3 linked regions of the Arabidopsis thaliana genome follow. The protein of the gene in region 3 interacts with the protein of the main gene of each other region in a biochemical or structural test. Each region holds a gene or a part of one and is shown on either strand. Other genes may lie near its edges.

Region 1 (4,959 bases), on a different chromosome or scaffold from region 3:
TTAGGTACCGGAGATGGATCTTACAGGACAGGTGGCAACGGGAATGTTCAGGGTGTGGCTCAGTGCTCCGGTGATCTAAGTACATCACAGTGCCAAGATTGCTTGTCTGATGCAATCGGACGGCTCAAATCTGATTGTGGAATGGCTCAGGGAGGATATGTTTACTTGTCGAAATGTTACGCGCGTTTCAGTGTTGGTGGTAGTCACGCGCGTCAGACCCCAGGCCCAAACTTTGGTCATGGTCAGTCTTCCTCTAAACTTATTTTAACTAAACTAGATAAAAAAATAAAAAGTCGTAATCACTAAAAAAAAAACCTTTTTACGTAACCTCAGATGAAAATTTAAATATTAGACTGATCTTAACAATTAGTCTAATGGTTTATATATTTGTGTACGACGCTAAATTTTTAAACCCATAAAATTGATAGTGTTGACCATAAATAAAAATATGAACATTATACTTGATGGAGAAAACAAATTTATTAAAAACTTTAGAGGTGGATGGATAGTTTTAAAATTATATATATATATATTTGGCAGAAGGAGAGAAGGGCAATAAGGATGATAATGGAGTGGGAAAAACATTGGCGATAATAATAGGAATCGTCACCTTAATCATCTTGCTCGTTGTGTTTCTCGCTTTTGTTGGAAAGTGTTGTAGAAAATTACAAGGTATTTTTGATATTGATTTACGTTTTTTTTTCAGTTCTTTTATCGATCATAAAATCTAAATTACTATGTATATGCCTTTTGCAGATGAGAAATGGTGTAAATGAAAGGACAAAGTGGGAAAGATATCAATCAACAACTCGAGTCGAGCCACACTGTTAGTTGTATTTTTGTAATTTTTTTTGTTCTCCCTCATAAGATGTACGTAGTTATAGTATATTGATAATTTGATATAGTATTGATATGATTGTATCTCCGAATCGATTTTTGTATAATTGTCGGACTTATATAGGCCAAAGCGATATCTTCTTCTTTGATGTGAATGAAACCTTCGATTTCTTATCTTCTATAAATGCCATGTTTTTCGTCTATGCAAAAAATAACAGTAATTAAAAGGGTTTGAGCTTCTTTTATCAATACACAAACAAGTTAAAATAAATGAACGTGTCGAGAATAATGGAACATATTAAACCGTAAATCAGGATGGAGATCCAAAAAATGATAACTGTGTTCGTCCTATTGCGAATGTCTGAACGAATCTTTTCATCGTATTCATCATTATTTATTCTCATATTGTCTAAAGAACTCAATTGAAGACTTGGCCTAATGTCCTTTAATCATTAAAAATGATAATTTAAAATTGTAAGCTGACTACCAAATCGTTTTAGGACTTTGAAAGACCAACTAACGTCTAATTCTTTTCCATATTTTTTTTAATTTTCTGAAATTCTTAATGTACTACCGATGATTGCTTCATAACCAGGTTCTTCTTTTAATTTGTACATGAGTAACATGACTAATAAATGACTTGCGTCTGTTTGAAACATTATATGAATAAGAAAAATTGGTCTCAAATAACAACATGATGTATCAAAGATTCAAAAATTTCACGTGTTATGAAATGAGCTTAGCAAAAGTTCACTCAAGTTCTTGGAGGTCTAGTTTGGAATGCAATTTAGCCAAATCTGTACAGTTATACTGAACAGATTTAATGTAAGTCGGGCCGTAAACAAAATTATGGGCCTTAGATAAGCAAATCAAACTTCTTTCAGCCCATTGAGCATTCTCGTGATTTGGTTATTGTATATCCAATACGTGACATTACTTTTGCCTCAACGAAAGAGTCTTGGCTTATCATTTCATTTATTATTATAGTTGAAATAATTTTCAAAGAAAAGAAAAAAATATGTGATAAATACCAAACCGTTGCATAAGAAAAGCAACCACACATTTTACATGTGTGTGTGAGTTCACGAAGAAAATATCCAATAGCCAAACTAATTAATCCACCTTTGAAAAAAAACATGCACTATTATAAACTAGAGCCACCGACGGTCGACGGATGTCTAATTGTATATGGTCCTCAGAAATGAAAAAATCAAAAGAATAAACACGTGTGAATTAACCGGTTTAACCAGTAGCACCAACCGTTTGTACCGGTCAGAAAAAAGCCCCACATGCTTTAATCAAGCAAGCCTTTAAAAACAGGAAAGGCAAAGAGTTAAATAAGCCTCTCCAAAAGTGTGTCTGTAACATTACCAAAACGAAACCTTCCTTGTGGATTCCCACTTCTTTCTTCTGTTTTCTTCTTCCTCTTCTTTAAATTGGATGTTTTGGGCAAGAAACAGAGAGAAACACGTTAATTTGAGAGTTTGTCATTGAATATTTGGTTTGCAATGGAAAGAGATTTTCTGGGTTTGAGCGACAAGCAGTATCTAAGTAATAACGTTAAGCATGAGGTTAACGATGATGCTGTCGAAGAACGAGGTTTGTGTTCTTGTCTCGAGAATCTTTTATTTTAATGTTTCAAGAAGAGATCAGTTTTCACTTTTAACATAGCCGTATAAAGTTGTTTATTTAAATATAATTTTTCAGATTCCAAAACTTGAAAAAAAAAAGATTCCATTAAATCTTTTATAAAAATGAGATTGGATAGATTAGTCAAATTGACGACCATAAAAAATGATACTTATAGGGTTAAGTACGAAGGCAGCTAGAGAATGGGGGAAGTCAAAGGTTTTTGCTACTTCAAGTTTCATGCCTTCTTCAGATTTCCAGGTTGGTTCATCTTAAAATTTAACTTACTCTGTATCAGTTTCAGATGTTATGGCTAATCTAATGGTTCTATAAGCTACCGCATAATCATGGTCGTCTTTTAGCATGTGCAAGAGGAGTACTCAATTATGGTCTTGATTAAAAAGAAGAATTTACTTTCAAATTATGTTAAACACATCAATCACATATTTATGAGAAAAGTTGTTTTCGTAAGAGATAGCCACCGGAAAATGGTCGGATAAATGGCCGAACTTTATCATTTTTGTGTATGTGGCCAATCATTAACCAGGGAAAAAAAATTGTTGGATAAGTGCTAGTTAAGAGCTGGTAGGGTCGGTCGTCTGCCAGCCGCAAAGTTAGGGAAAAAATAATTTAATATTTTGTGGCGTTTGGTGTTTGGCGTTTGGATCACGTTTATTTCTTGGCATTTTTCTAAATTTAGAATGTACAAAAAATTTAAAGACGTTGACGATTAAAATTTGAATTTAACAAATTAGGAGGCTAAGGCGTTTCCGGGTGCATACCAGTGGGGATCAGTTTCTGCGGCCAATGTTTTCCGCAGATGCCAATTTGGTGGTGCGTTTCAAAACGCGACGCCGCTTTTACTAGGCGGTTCAGTTCCTTTACCAACTCATCCTTCTCTTGTTCCACGGTAATTTCCATATTATGATGCAAAAACATTCAACAATTTTTTTGCTCTTTTCATATTTTGATTTGGTTATGTGGGTTTGTGGAAACAGAGTGGCTTCCTCCGGATCATCTCCTCAGCTCACAATCTTTTATGGCGGAACTATAAGCGTCTTTAATGACATATCTCCCGATAAGGTATATATAATCAAGATTCATACAAATAACATTTACATAACATTTACATGTTCTAAAACGGACTATTCATGATATGTGAGTAGGCTCAAGCCATCATGTTATGCGCCGGGAACGGTTTGAAAGGTGAAACTGGAGATAGCAAACCGGTTCGAGAAGCTGAAAGAATGTATGGAAAACAAATCCATAACACTGCTGCTACCTCATCAAGCTCTGCCACTCACACTGATAATTTCTCAAGGTGTAGGGACACACCCGTTGCTGCGACTAATGCAATGAGCATGATCGAATCATTCAATGCAGCTCCTCGTAACATGATTCCTTCAGGTATGTGTGTCTAATATCAACATCAAAACAAAATATAATCAAGATTTTTGCTTCCTCAAATCATATGTCTAAACTCGAAAATTGCTTTTTTCCAGTCCCTCAAGCTCGGAAAGCATCCTTGGCTCGGTTCTTGGAGAAGCGCAAAGAGAGGTTTGATTTTGTATTTTTTTTCTTTATAGAAAATTTTGAGGTTTTTCAATTGAATCTAAAAGAATTGATGTTGTTGGTGCAGGCTTATGAGTGCAATGCCATACAAGAAGATGCTTCTTGATTTGTCGACCGGAGAATCCAGTGGAATGAATTACTCTTCTACTTCTCCTACATAAAACCTACACTTTTTTTTTTTTTTTTTACAATGGTAATTTGTAATTGTAATCATTAGATTATGATTATATAGTTACCATTTATATTCTTACGAGCAGGAGAAGACGTTAGGGCGTCTCTGTATTTGATCATTGTTTGTAATGCTTTGGTCTGTTTATTGTAGGATTACATTATAACTTTAAGAACTAACAGATATATGTTTGTCATGGACTCATGTCTGTCAAGAATTTAATATCAAATAAAATTCACTATAATTTTTTTTTTGCTAATTTCACAAACACACTTCATTAACTAATTATATGAACACTTAATTGATTTATACCAAAATCATATTGAATGCATCGCTAAAGAGAATAGTACTAGTTTTGTATCGCCAGCTTTCGTTGTTAACAAGTCCACTTTACTATTATTCTCTCGAGTTTTTTTTTGGTATCAATGTAAAGAAAATAAGAAGGTGAAAATTCTCTTGAGGTTGATGATTGTGTAAAATACCTAAGATGATATATTACAAAAAATGATATGTTTTCAAAGGAAAATATTCATGTTTTAAATAGCTTTTTATGAAAGTCACGAGTTCAAAATTTGATGTTAAGGAGAATAAATACTACTAGTTTATGTGCTACAGTAAACAAAAAAAAAATTGTGAACCAAAAGAGCTCACATGTTGATTACGAAAACAGAGAGATTCTCTTCACAAGCGGAAAGATCTTATAGATATTATTATTTAGAGGCAGATAAATAATTGTAGGAAAGTAATAATGG
Region 2 (4,432 bases), on a different chromosome or scaffold from region 3:
CCTCCGCCATGAAAGTAGACGAGTAGTGGGATTTTCTTCTCGCCGGTTTCATAGACGGAATTTTGAGGGAGGTAAATGCGGAGAGAGAGGTTTTTCTCCGGTGAATAGACGGCATCTTTAGATACGACGCCGTTTTCGGGATTTAGTGACGGTGGGACGAATGTTTCGGGTACGAGGCGTTCGATGCCACCGTTCTTGAATATACGAAACCTCGGAGAATAGTCGAATGCGATTTCGGAATCCATTAGAGATTAATGATGATTAGGAAAGAATTAAGAGTTGATTTTGGTGTTTATGCGATTTATTTATATGAATGATCTCTACGAGACTACGACTACTCTGAACTCTCTATAGTTTTGGTTTGGTTTAGATGTCACGTTGTTCTTTAGTTGTTGACATGTTGTTAAACCTACCTACTAACTCATAATTCACGGGTTTGAATTTGAATCATAAAATATGAGATTAGTAGGTAACAAGTAAACAAATGAAAACAAAACACACCTACTTACCTGATAGGTAGATTTATCAAGATATAATTTAGAGTATTTGATAGTATGGTTCGTCAACAAAAATTATTGTTCTTACAAAATTAGTTACATACGAAACTAATTTTGAGATAACCCATAGCAAGGGGATTTAGACAGGCGACAATAACTAGTAGAAAAACAGACTATAACGAATACTAACAATAATTGATCACTAATCAATACATACAAATATATGAAGTTTCCTAATCATTGAGTAGTTTGTATCTTAAATCAAAAAGCATGAAGATAGGAGCTTTTATATCTTGTCTTGAAGCAACGTCGTCAAAAGAATTTCTTGGTACGGCTTGAGGGTGGTTAGCATTCATATTTCAGCTGCTAAACCGAGCCACGACATGTTGCCTGTGGTTTGAGGGTTTGAAGACGCTTTGGCTGGATCGCATAATTGGTATGGTGCCTTTGACGTAACTCTGTCCTTTCTCTTCTCCAAGAACCGGTGAAGTGAAGCTCTTCTAGCAATAGGAAGTTCTGTCAATGGTGTTGGGGAGGATTGGATTGGCTCTTGTGTTGTGGTTTTTCTTGGATGAGGAACTTGGTTTGCGATAGTAGCGATGTTGCTTCTGATATCGGTTTGATTCTTGGCTAAGCTATTAGCGGTGCCTTTGCTCGCCAAGTTGATCACTTCTTTGGCTTTCTCAGCAGAAAAGTCATTGAATACAATCACTTGCCCGGCGTAGAATATAGTCAATGGTGCAGTTTGAGACTCTGGTTTCACAGATCTGGTAGTCTGTGTCATTTTCAAAACATCTTCCTTTGGAAGAGAGGAAGATGAGGAAGAAAAGCTTGGTTGCCTAGGAAACAGATTCGTCGGTTTAACATCTTGAACCATGGAATCCATGTTAGAAGCTTCACAAGGGAATAAACTCATGGTTGTTGTCGGCTGACGTGAGTTGCCTAAAGTTCCTGCAAATATATATGATCCAAAAGTTAGAACTCTCTCCAATCATTTTCTATGTCAAAATTTAGCAAACTAACTCTCCCTAATTTCTTTGAAATCGATTCAAAATTTTCTTGAAAAGTTTTCAAGATCAAGATTCAAGAAATAAAAAACAGAGAAAACGAAAAAAGAAGTGGATCTAGGAGAAAGAGAAGGTTTCTTACCATTGACATCAGGCTTGCATGCCATTCCTAAGCTCAGATCTCCAAAGCTACCGTTCTCTTTTAGATACTGACTCAATCGACTACACGTCTGTGAGAAGCTAGGCTTCTTCCCAGTAAATCTCCGGCTACCGACGAACTCAGAACATTCCATAGAACTCGACATCTTTAACAATTAAAACTTTCAAACGGCAAGAGTTTCTCGAATAGCTAAATCGATACAAAGTAATCTCAAATCTTTTTCTTCTTCTTCTTGTTGTTGCTGTTGCTTCTCTGCAAATTGCGTTTGTCACGAGAGGGAGAAATGGAAGGTCTCTATAAAACTTTGTTTGGCTTTGGGGTTGGTTGGTTTGGTTGCAGAGTTCTTCTTCCTACCTCCAATATAACAAAGCTATATATTAATAGTTTAATAAATACTACTACTTTACTTATGGTATAAAAAACACGTGTTTTATTTTGTTTCTTTAGAAAAATCGGGAATGTGTCTCGGTTCACTGTTCTCCACGTTCTGACGCTTTCCGTTTCTTTGAAATTACGAGTTTGCCCTCCTTCACGAGCCTAATTTATCCATTGGTTGTTTGTTGGTAAGAATAAAGTCAAATAAAACACAAGATGCATGTAATGATGTAAAGAGAAGAGAGGTTACATTTTATCTCTAATCTTTATTATCAACGTAACGTAGGCATAATTCTCGTCGTGATTTTGGTGCTGTTTTTTTTTATCGGATATGTTAACAAGAAATTAATCAACCTAAACACGTCTAAAAAGTACTTAATATTTCTAATTAAAATAAAATAAAATCTTTTTGTATAAATAAGAAGCAAAACGCGTTAGAACCAGTCAACAGTCAAAGCCTAAACTCTTTCACATTTTTAAATGCTCTTCATTGAGACTAAATAATCTTACAATTATAATTGAAATCTAATATGATATTATACTCGAAACATTTTAAAACTTACTATTATAAGTATATTAACGCGTGATTCATGCAGAGAGACAAGCTAAGAATTGTCTAATATCTAGAAAGAAATAAATTAAAATATAAAGTCTGCTAGTTGTCGAGTTGGAATAAAAATGAGGCACAAGCTAAAAGTCATACATCAAAGTCAACCCACATGTCGACCGTCACAATTGATAAAATGCCATGAACCATATGATAATTTGATTGAATAATCAAAAGATTACACGTAACGAAAGTAATGCTTGGCACCTAAAAATCAATAATACAAACTGAGACCTAATTAAATGGTCGTCAATATAAAAATGGACATATTAAAATATATTAAGATATCCAAAAGCAAAAGAGAGACTAATCCATATATCAAGGGTGTTATCGTCCAAGCGGGAAAGTAAACGGCGTTAGTGAGTGGTCCCCTAAAGAAGACAACTCCACCACCCACATGTTCCGTCGACCACGTTTTTGTTGTTATGCGTTTTTTGAACAATATCAATATTTAACGAAAAAAAGAAGCAAAGAAGAAGGAAACTACAAGGAAAGAAGGTTGGCAAGTGCACGTTGTCTGTACCTATTCGATATGACACGTGTTTTATCATGGTTGGTTCGTTTTTCTACGCGTGGAGAGATTCTTGTATTTCAGTATCCAGGGCTCTTATACGCTGCTACGCGACCTATAGAGTTCTAATGTGATTTTATCACCTAAACGGCTAAAGTTGATCTCTACAGCTGCTTTCTCAAAGTAGACCAAGCCAAAGCTCAGATATTTGGAACCCTATACATGCAAATCGATCACAAAATATCTAAAACCTTAAAACATGAAACAAACTCCAAAACCTTACTTTTATGTATAGGCTTCAGCTTCACCTATACGTTGATGTCATGTTTCATTGTAGGCTATACATAATAAAACGACTAAGAGATAGATCTGTAATTGTAACTTGGTGTATAATATACACATTAATGTTTAATTAGACTTGGATAATGCGACACAATTATATTAAATTAATCAGTAAACAAAGTACGTGACAAAGTATTATAATATGGACTCGATCGACACAATTCAGAAGAAAAAGTCGTCCCATACTGATACAACGAGTCTTTCTTTTACATAATTGACAGAAACTTTATTGGTGCAAGATTAGATATATAAAATTCAAGATATATTTCACTAATTAAAAAACTCAACTAGTTTTGAGTTTATTGGTTAGAAGTTGGAACGTACTATAAGATATGAAATGTGGGCTATGGAGCCTATAAAAGTAGATATGATTAGATTAAACGAGAAAGATCGTCAAACTCGTGGGAAATGCGTGTACGTAGTGGTTGGGAAGGAATACAGATCCGCGATGCAAGTTGAGTAACGTGTCCAAATATATATACTTTTACAACTATTCATGCATTAGTTGAGTTTACCATTAATTTACGACTCTTAATTTATTGTATGATTATAGTATATTGTTTAGTCCTTGTTAATGATAAACCAACATTGTAGAGACTTGTAATGTCTAATATATTATACAGGTGCAAGCCTATCTGTTCGTTTAGGGTTTTATTTTCTTAGAGTAAGGTAATACTTACAAAATTTACATGGTTGACTTTGCTAAGCATAGATTGATACGTAGCCACGTTGTATAGTTTTTATTTGTTTAACAAATACTTATGTAACAATCAATGATACAATCATACACAAGTTTTGAACAATATGCACATGAATATCTAGAAATGTTCAAACAATATTATTCTACAATTTCTTTTTGTTTCATGTAAAGGTACGCATGCGTTTGTTAGCCTTTCGAAAATAAATATTAAAATTTATAAATGTTAAAAAAGA
Region 3 (5,391 bases):
AACTAATTGTAATCTGAATTAGTCTATTTAGTACATCTTTTACGTACAATTAATCTAAAGTTATCCAGAATGAGAAAACGATCATCAAACAAAGTATAGTTAATATTACATGTACAGATGATAAATGTCTCCTTTCGTTCTTTGTTTTTATTTGGCGATAATGTGCCCTATAATTTTAAAAGCGCATGCTTTCTTCTTATCACTCACACGTTCTCTTCGCACTGTCACTCACATTTTCGAGGAGATTATTGCTAAAATGTTTGGAAACAAACACAATAATATATGTTGCAGAAAAATCTCTTTAATAATCGACCACACATGTCTCCACGATTTTTTTGTATGATTTTAACTTTTTCTTCAAAGATTCATAACCTCGCTTTCCCTCCCCCACAACCCTTTTAAGACATCTTATGTTTATATCCCCATGTTTCATTTTGATTTCACCATTTTGGACCTTTATGACATATATTGATTTTTTTTTATTTTTTTAAAGGGTATTATTCTAGTGGTTTCACTTCTTCTGTCAATATCAAGAAATCCATTTAGCATTTGCATGTTGTGCATCATGATTTATGCGACAAACTTAATTACTCTGAAGTAATCTATGGTTCAAAATACTATTTAGAACGATAATGATCATGTAACATCCACATAAATTTTGAGGTCCTACATTGGAATCTCTAAATAGCTGTGATTGATTTAAATTATCCCTATTGAAAACAAAAAAAAGTAGGTATATTCGTTCCTAACAAATTAGATGCCTCTTTTGATGCCAACTTCCCAATGACTAGTCCCAAATGATGAACACAAAAAACTCACTTGAAAGTGAAATACTCAAACTTTAACTCAAAAGACAACAAAAAACTCCAACTTCAGTCCCATTTGTCTTATTTCTAACAAAAGCCTTATTTACATACATACACCAACAAACCAAAGACTTAACCATTGATCAAACACATTTATTTATCTCATGAAACAACAAACCCCAACCTAATCATATACTACACTAAGAATCCTCTCTAACAAGCATTCAATAGCAACAAGTGGGTACTACAAAATTACCCTTACACAATAGAGTTTACAACTACATTCACTAGAGAAACTTGTGTGAAAGGTTTAACACTTTTTACCGCGGCTTATACTATGATCGTTGTTTTCGACTTTTCGCAGTATTCTCCGGTGTATTAGCCCTAAAGATGCTGACTTCAATTCATGGACATTCTCCAACTTTCTCCGTTAGAGCAACCTTGAGTTGATCTTGCGTGAAAAACTGATTCCCCATTTTCACAGTCGCTTGTTGGATCATAAGATCATTCACTACCGATAAACTCGCATGATTCACTTCCAAATCCAACTCCTTAAGTGCTTCCATGAACTTAGCACCAGGATGATTCCTCTTACTACATTGAATCCTTATCATTGCATCCCAACCAATAATCTTCACATCAACCTCCATCTCTATCAACACACTCGATTCTTGATTCAAACATTTTCGATCTTTTACCGAACTTTTCGCATTTCCCGCTTCTTTATTCATCACATCAATCTGCTTCTGCAACTCTTCTTTATCAGATTCAGCCTTTTGCAACTTAGACTTAAGCTCACTGATATACGAAATAGCATCTCCTAATAGAGAAGCTTTATCCATCTTAGACACATTAGGAACCACAGCTCTTAAAGAATAGAATCTCTGATTCAACTTCTCTCTTCTCTGTCTCTCTGCCTCTACATGATTCAAAGGCTCTTCTCTTCCATTCGCCGGTTTTCTCCCTCGTTTCCTCGGTTTCTTCTCCGGTTCAACCACAACTCTGTTACTCTCAGCTTCTTTAGCCACTGAAGCTTCAAGATCAGAGTGATTCGAGTCACATGGAAGAACAGAGGTAAAAGAAAGCATCCCTTCTTCATTATTCGAAACCGGTGATCTCTTCTTATTACTACTATCTTCTTCTTGACCATTCTCAATCCCATTCTTGAAATTCACCATTTCACAAGATTTCAGAACTTTAGGGTTAGGGTTTTCAACAGAGCTTCCATTACAAAGCTTAGAAATTGGTTGAGAATCAGAATTAGAAGTTGAGTCATTTCCACCATTATTCATCACCGGAGCAGCTACAAGACCAGAGTCAACACCATTAGGTTCACTAATCCACAAACCTGGATCATTCTCTCCTTGATCTGGATTCAAATTAAACGCCCAAGAACCAAATTCACCACCACCATTGTTAAAATTGAAAAAGGTGTCAACTTTATCAACAAGATCTGAACTTTGATGAATAATCTCCGACGAACCAAGCTCAACGACACCATTCTCTGTCGCTACACACACCATTGTTTGTAACCCATAAATCTGACCTTGACGAGCTCTCTCACAACTTGATCCAGCTAAAGCATTAGAACCAGATAACCAAATCGTGTCTGAATTTGAGAAAGCTTGACCAGGTAAACCAGTACCCTTGACAAAGCTCTGTGTCATTGAAACTAAGAAGAACCATTCAGTATCTGTAACTTCTTCATCTCCAGCTTCATCTCCTCCTCCTACACCACCGGAGATTAAAGAGTTGAGCTCTCTAATCACTCTCTTACGATGCTCTTGTTCAGCTGCACTAGCTGGATTTGATTTCTTCTTTCTAGACTTCTCTTCTTCTCCTTTGTAATAACCATCTCCCCAACCTAACAACACTGTGTTGTTGTTGTTGTTGTCTTCTCCGGCGAAACCGTGAGATGATTGCCAGAACACGGCGTAAGTCCAGTTCTCGTTTGCTCCTTCGATTAAAGCTTGGAGACGTTGCTGGAGATTATCTTCGTTGACTTGAGGAAGAGGAGGAGGAGGAAGTGGAGGAAAAAGAGAAGAATGATCGGAGCCGCCGCCGATGAAAGCTTCCATTACCGATGCATCGTCGTCGGTTGACCAGAGATTTGTTGTATCCGTTTTTGATTGGTTGAGATGGTAATCGGTTACTTGAACATTCGTCGGAGACATAACAGTTCTCTGACGTAGTTATAAAAGAGAAGACTTTTTGTTTTTCCGGTGAGAGACAGAGGAGAGAAGTAAGTTCTTTAAGCAAAATATTTGTGTTTGGTTTGATTGTTTCGGGAAAAGGAATCTGTTTATATTCATTTTTTTTTTTTAACTCTAAAGAAAAAGAAATAGTACTTTTATTTTCACCAAATATGAATTATTGATTGAGTTATTTCTGAAGTTGGGTTATATACATAACTTGATTGAAAACAATTTTTTTCTGAATAGTAATTGTTTTACAAGAAAATTACTAATCTATGTAAGAGAATCGGATCAAATTTGTCAAGGAGCCTTTTACATCAAAGTTGATAATTAAGAACAATTAAAGAATGAAAATGATATTTCACTTACAATAATGATCTTGTCTCCCTCACTTTTGGTATTGGTGTCAATATCTGCTTTTCTTGTGATTAATCCCATCATTTAATTCTTGTAAGCAAGTAGCATCAATTAATTTAAACAATGAGTTTGTAGAATTGCAGTTGTTCTTTGAGGCAGGAAAATATGATTTAAAGGGATTAAGGGAGTGTTAACACCAAAGATTTGGATACAACATTTATATACAAAACCTATAAAGCAAATATTGTAGACTTGTAGTTTAACATTTTCTTATAAACATATTTTTGTTGGCTTCGTTATTGGACACAACTTTTTGCAATGATAAAGAACAAAAAAAAGACATGGGTGATTTTGATATCAAAGGTGAAAGAGACGCAAGAGCATAAAGGAAAATAAAAGGTATAGTATTAAAACAGAATTAGATTTAATTACGAAAATTATACGACCACACAAAAATAATCACATTATGTCGTGTGGGTCTCGTGTTTTTAGTGGCCAGATTTCATAATATGCTTTCTTTTTCAGTGAGAGCAAATGCCCAAAAATGTTGGTCTCTCTATGTTCATATCCGACGAAACTATAGTGTCTACTGTACAGTGACATTTCGGAATCGCATAAAAGCAAACAAAACAAATTAAGCTGGGCTTTACTTTATATTGGGCCTCACACATTTTGGGTAGTTAATAAAACTAGCCCGCAAATATTTCACATTTGACATTTTTTAGTGTATGGTCAACAACAAGTATAGCGAAACTTTTAGCATATAATATGTGTGAGACATATTATGGAAAGAAGGCAAAAATGAAAACCGTTAGTTAGTTTGAAAACCTGGAGTTATAAAAAGTCGTATTTTAATTTACTAATACATGTTAACTTCAGATATTAAAAACAAATCCTGTACGTATTAAACCATATGATAAACATAATATTAATACGAAAAATGTATAACACACGATTAGACAAATTAGGAAGTAATCTTTGAATTGAGGTTTAAGAAAAGGTGAAAATGATAAGCTTTCGTCCGTTTTATATCATCCATGTTGCTTCAGAAACGGAATTTACACACTACGTGTCGTTTCTACGTAATGCCATTTTCGTAATTTCTAGAGTTTATTCAGGGTGTTTTCGTCAGTCTAGTCAGATCAAATGTTTCCATCAAACGTTAGTACTGTTTCCTTTAGATTTACAGATTTTGAAGAAGAAAGATTTCAAATTAAAAAATCTTTCAAATTTCTTCAAGGAGGTGATCAAATTGAACAATTTGATCTACAATGGCTTCTTCTTCTGCTGACAATCTTACCGACAAAAACATTGTTTTCAGAAAACTCAAATCAAAATCTGAGAACAAGGTAATCAAATTTTTTTCTGAATTCTTCTCTTTCTTTGAGTATCGTCAATTTGATATTGTGTATGTTTAGATCTGAGAGTTGTTTGACTAGATCTTTGATTCATTTATGCTAATTTTGGTTTTGATTTGCCAATTTAGGTCTGCTTCGATTGTAGTGCGAAGAATCCAACTTGGGCATCGGTTACATATGGGATTTTCCTCTGCATCGATTGTTCAGCTACTCACCGGAATCTTGGTGTTCATATCAGCTTCGTCAGGTAAACAATTCATCATCTGATCCAATTCTTCGGCATTACTCTAGCTCAGATTTTGGCTAAGGTTTAAGCTTTTGAGGCCTTTATAAGGGAATTAGCTTAAACCGTGCTCAGGTGTTCAGAATTGTTGGCTAATGTGTAGCATTACGTTGACTTTAGTGTGGTTGAATCATCAGATTATGTTTTAAGGTTTCAGAATTGTTGACTTCAAAATTTCACCAGTGTCTTGAAATTAGACTCATTCAAATTATCGATTCATTGACTAGATAATATTGAATAATGCCACATTACGTTCTCAAGATGCTACCTTTTCCGTTTTTGTATAGATCAACGAATTTAGACTCTTGGAGCCCGGAGCAGCTCAGGACAATGATGTTTGGTGGTAACAACCGTGCTCAGGTTTTCTTCAAGCAACATGGATGGACTGATGG

The links. Proteins that work in one complex are often made in the same cells at the same time.
Region 1: the proteins of MYC4 (region 3) and TIFY7 form a complex in vitro, tested with the Arabidopsis thaliana proteins (2 studies listed by BioGRID).
Region 2: the proteins of MYC4 (region 3) and JAZ1 form a complex in vitro, tested with the Arabidopsis thaliana proteins (2 studies listed by BioGRID).

The regions. Positions count from the first base shown.
Region 1 is NC_003070.9:26,652,606-26,657,564, forward strand, and holds TIFY7 (TIFY domain/Divergent CCT motif family protein), read left to right. Parts: upstream 1-2,162; 5' UTR 2,163-2,345; coding exon 2,346-2,436; intron 2,437-2,644; coding exon 2,645-2,727; intron 2,728-3,221; coding exon 3,222-3,376; intron 3,377-3,464; coding exon 3,465-3,549; intron 3,550-3,632; coding exon 3,633-3,873; intron 3,874-3,968; coding exon 3,969-4,144; coding exon of another isoform or gene 4,145-4,199; 3' UTR 4,200-4,459; downstream 4,460-4,959. Other genes in the region: HWI1 (Receptor-like protein kinase-related family protein), read left to right, coding at 1-241, 541-672, 757-776. UniProt on the Arabidopsis thaliana protein: Repressor of jasmonate responses. Jasmonoyl-isoleucine (JA-Ile) specifically promotes COI1-TIFY7/JAZ9 interaction. Interacts with and suppresses RHD6 and RSL1 transcription factor activities to negatively regulate jasmonate-stimulated root hair development.
Region 2 is NC_003070.9:6,619,689-6,624,120, reverse strand, and holds JAZ1 (jasmonate-zim-domain protein 1), read right to left. Parts: upstream 2,345-4,432; 5' UTR 2,290-2,344; intron 2,202-2,289; 5' UTR 1,810-2,201; coding exon 1,647-1,809; exon of another isoform or gene 1,449-1,646; coding exon 850-1,448; 3' UTR 501-849; downstream 1-500. Other genes in the region: AT1G19190 (alpha/beta-Hydrolases superfamily protein), read right to left, coding at 1-245.
Region 3 is NC_003075.7:9,932,492-9,937,882, forward strand, and holds MYC4 (Basic helix-loop-helix (bHLH) DNA-binding family protein), read right to left. Parts: upstream 3,195-5,391; 5' UTR 2,981-3,194; coding exon 1,211-2,980; 3' UTR 835-1,210; downstream 1-834. Other genes in the region: AGD8 (ARF-GAP domain 8), read left to right, coding at 4,630-4,707, 4,845-4,963, 5,287-5,391. UniProt on the Arabidopsis thaliana protein: Transcription factor involved in jasmonic acid (JA) gene regulation. With MYC2 and MYC3, controls additively subsets of JA-dependent responses. Can form complexes with all known glucosinolate-related MYBs to regulate glucosinolate biosynthesis.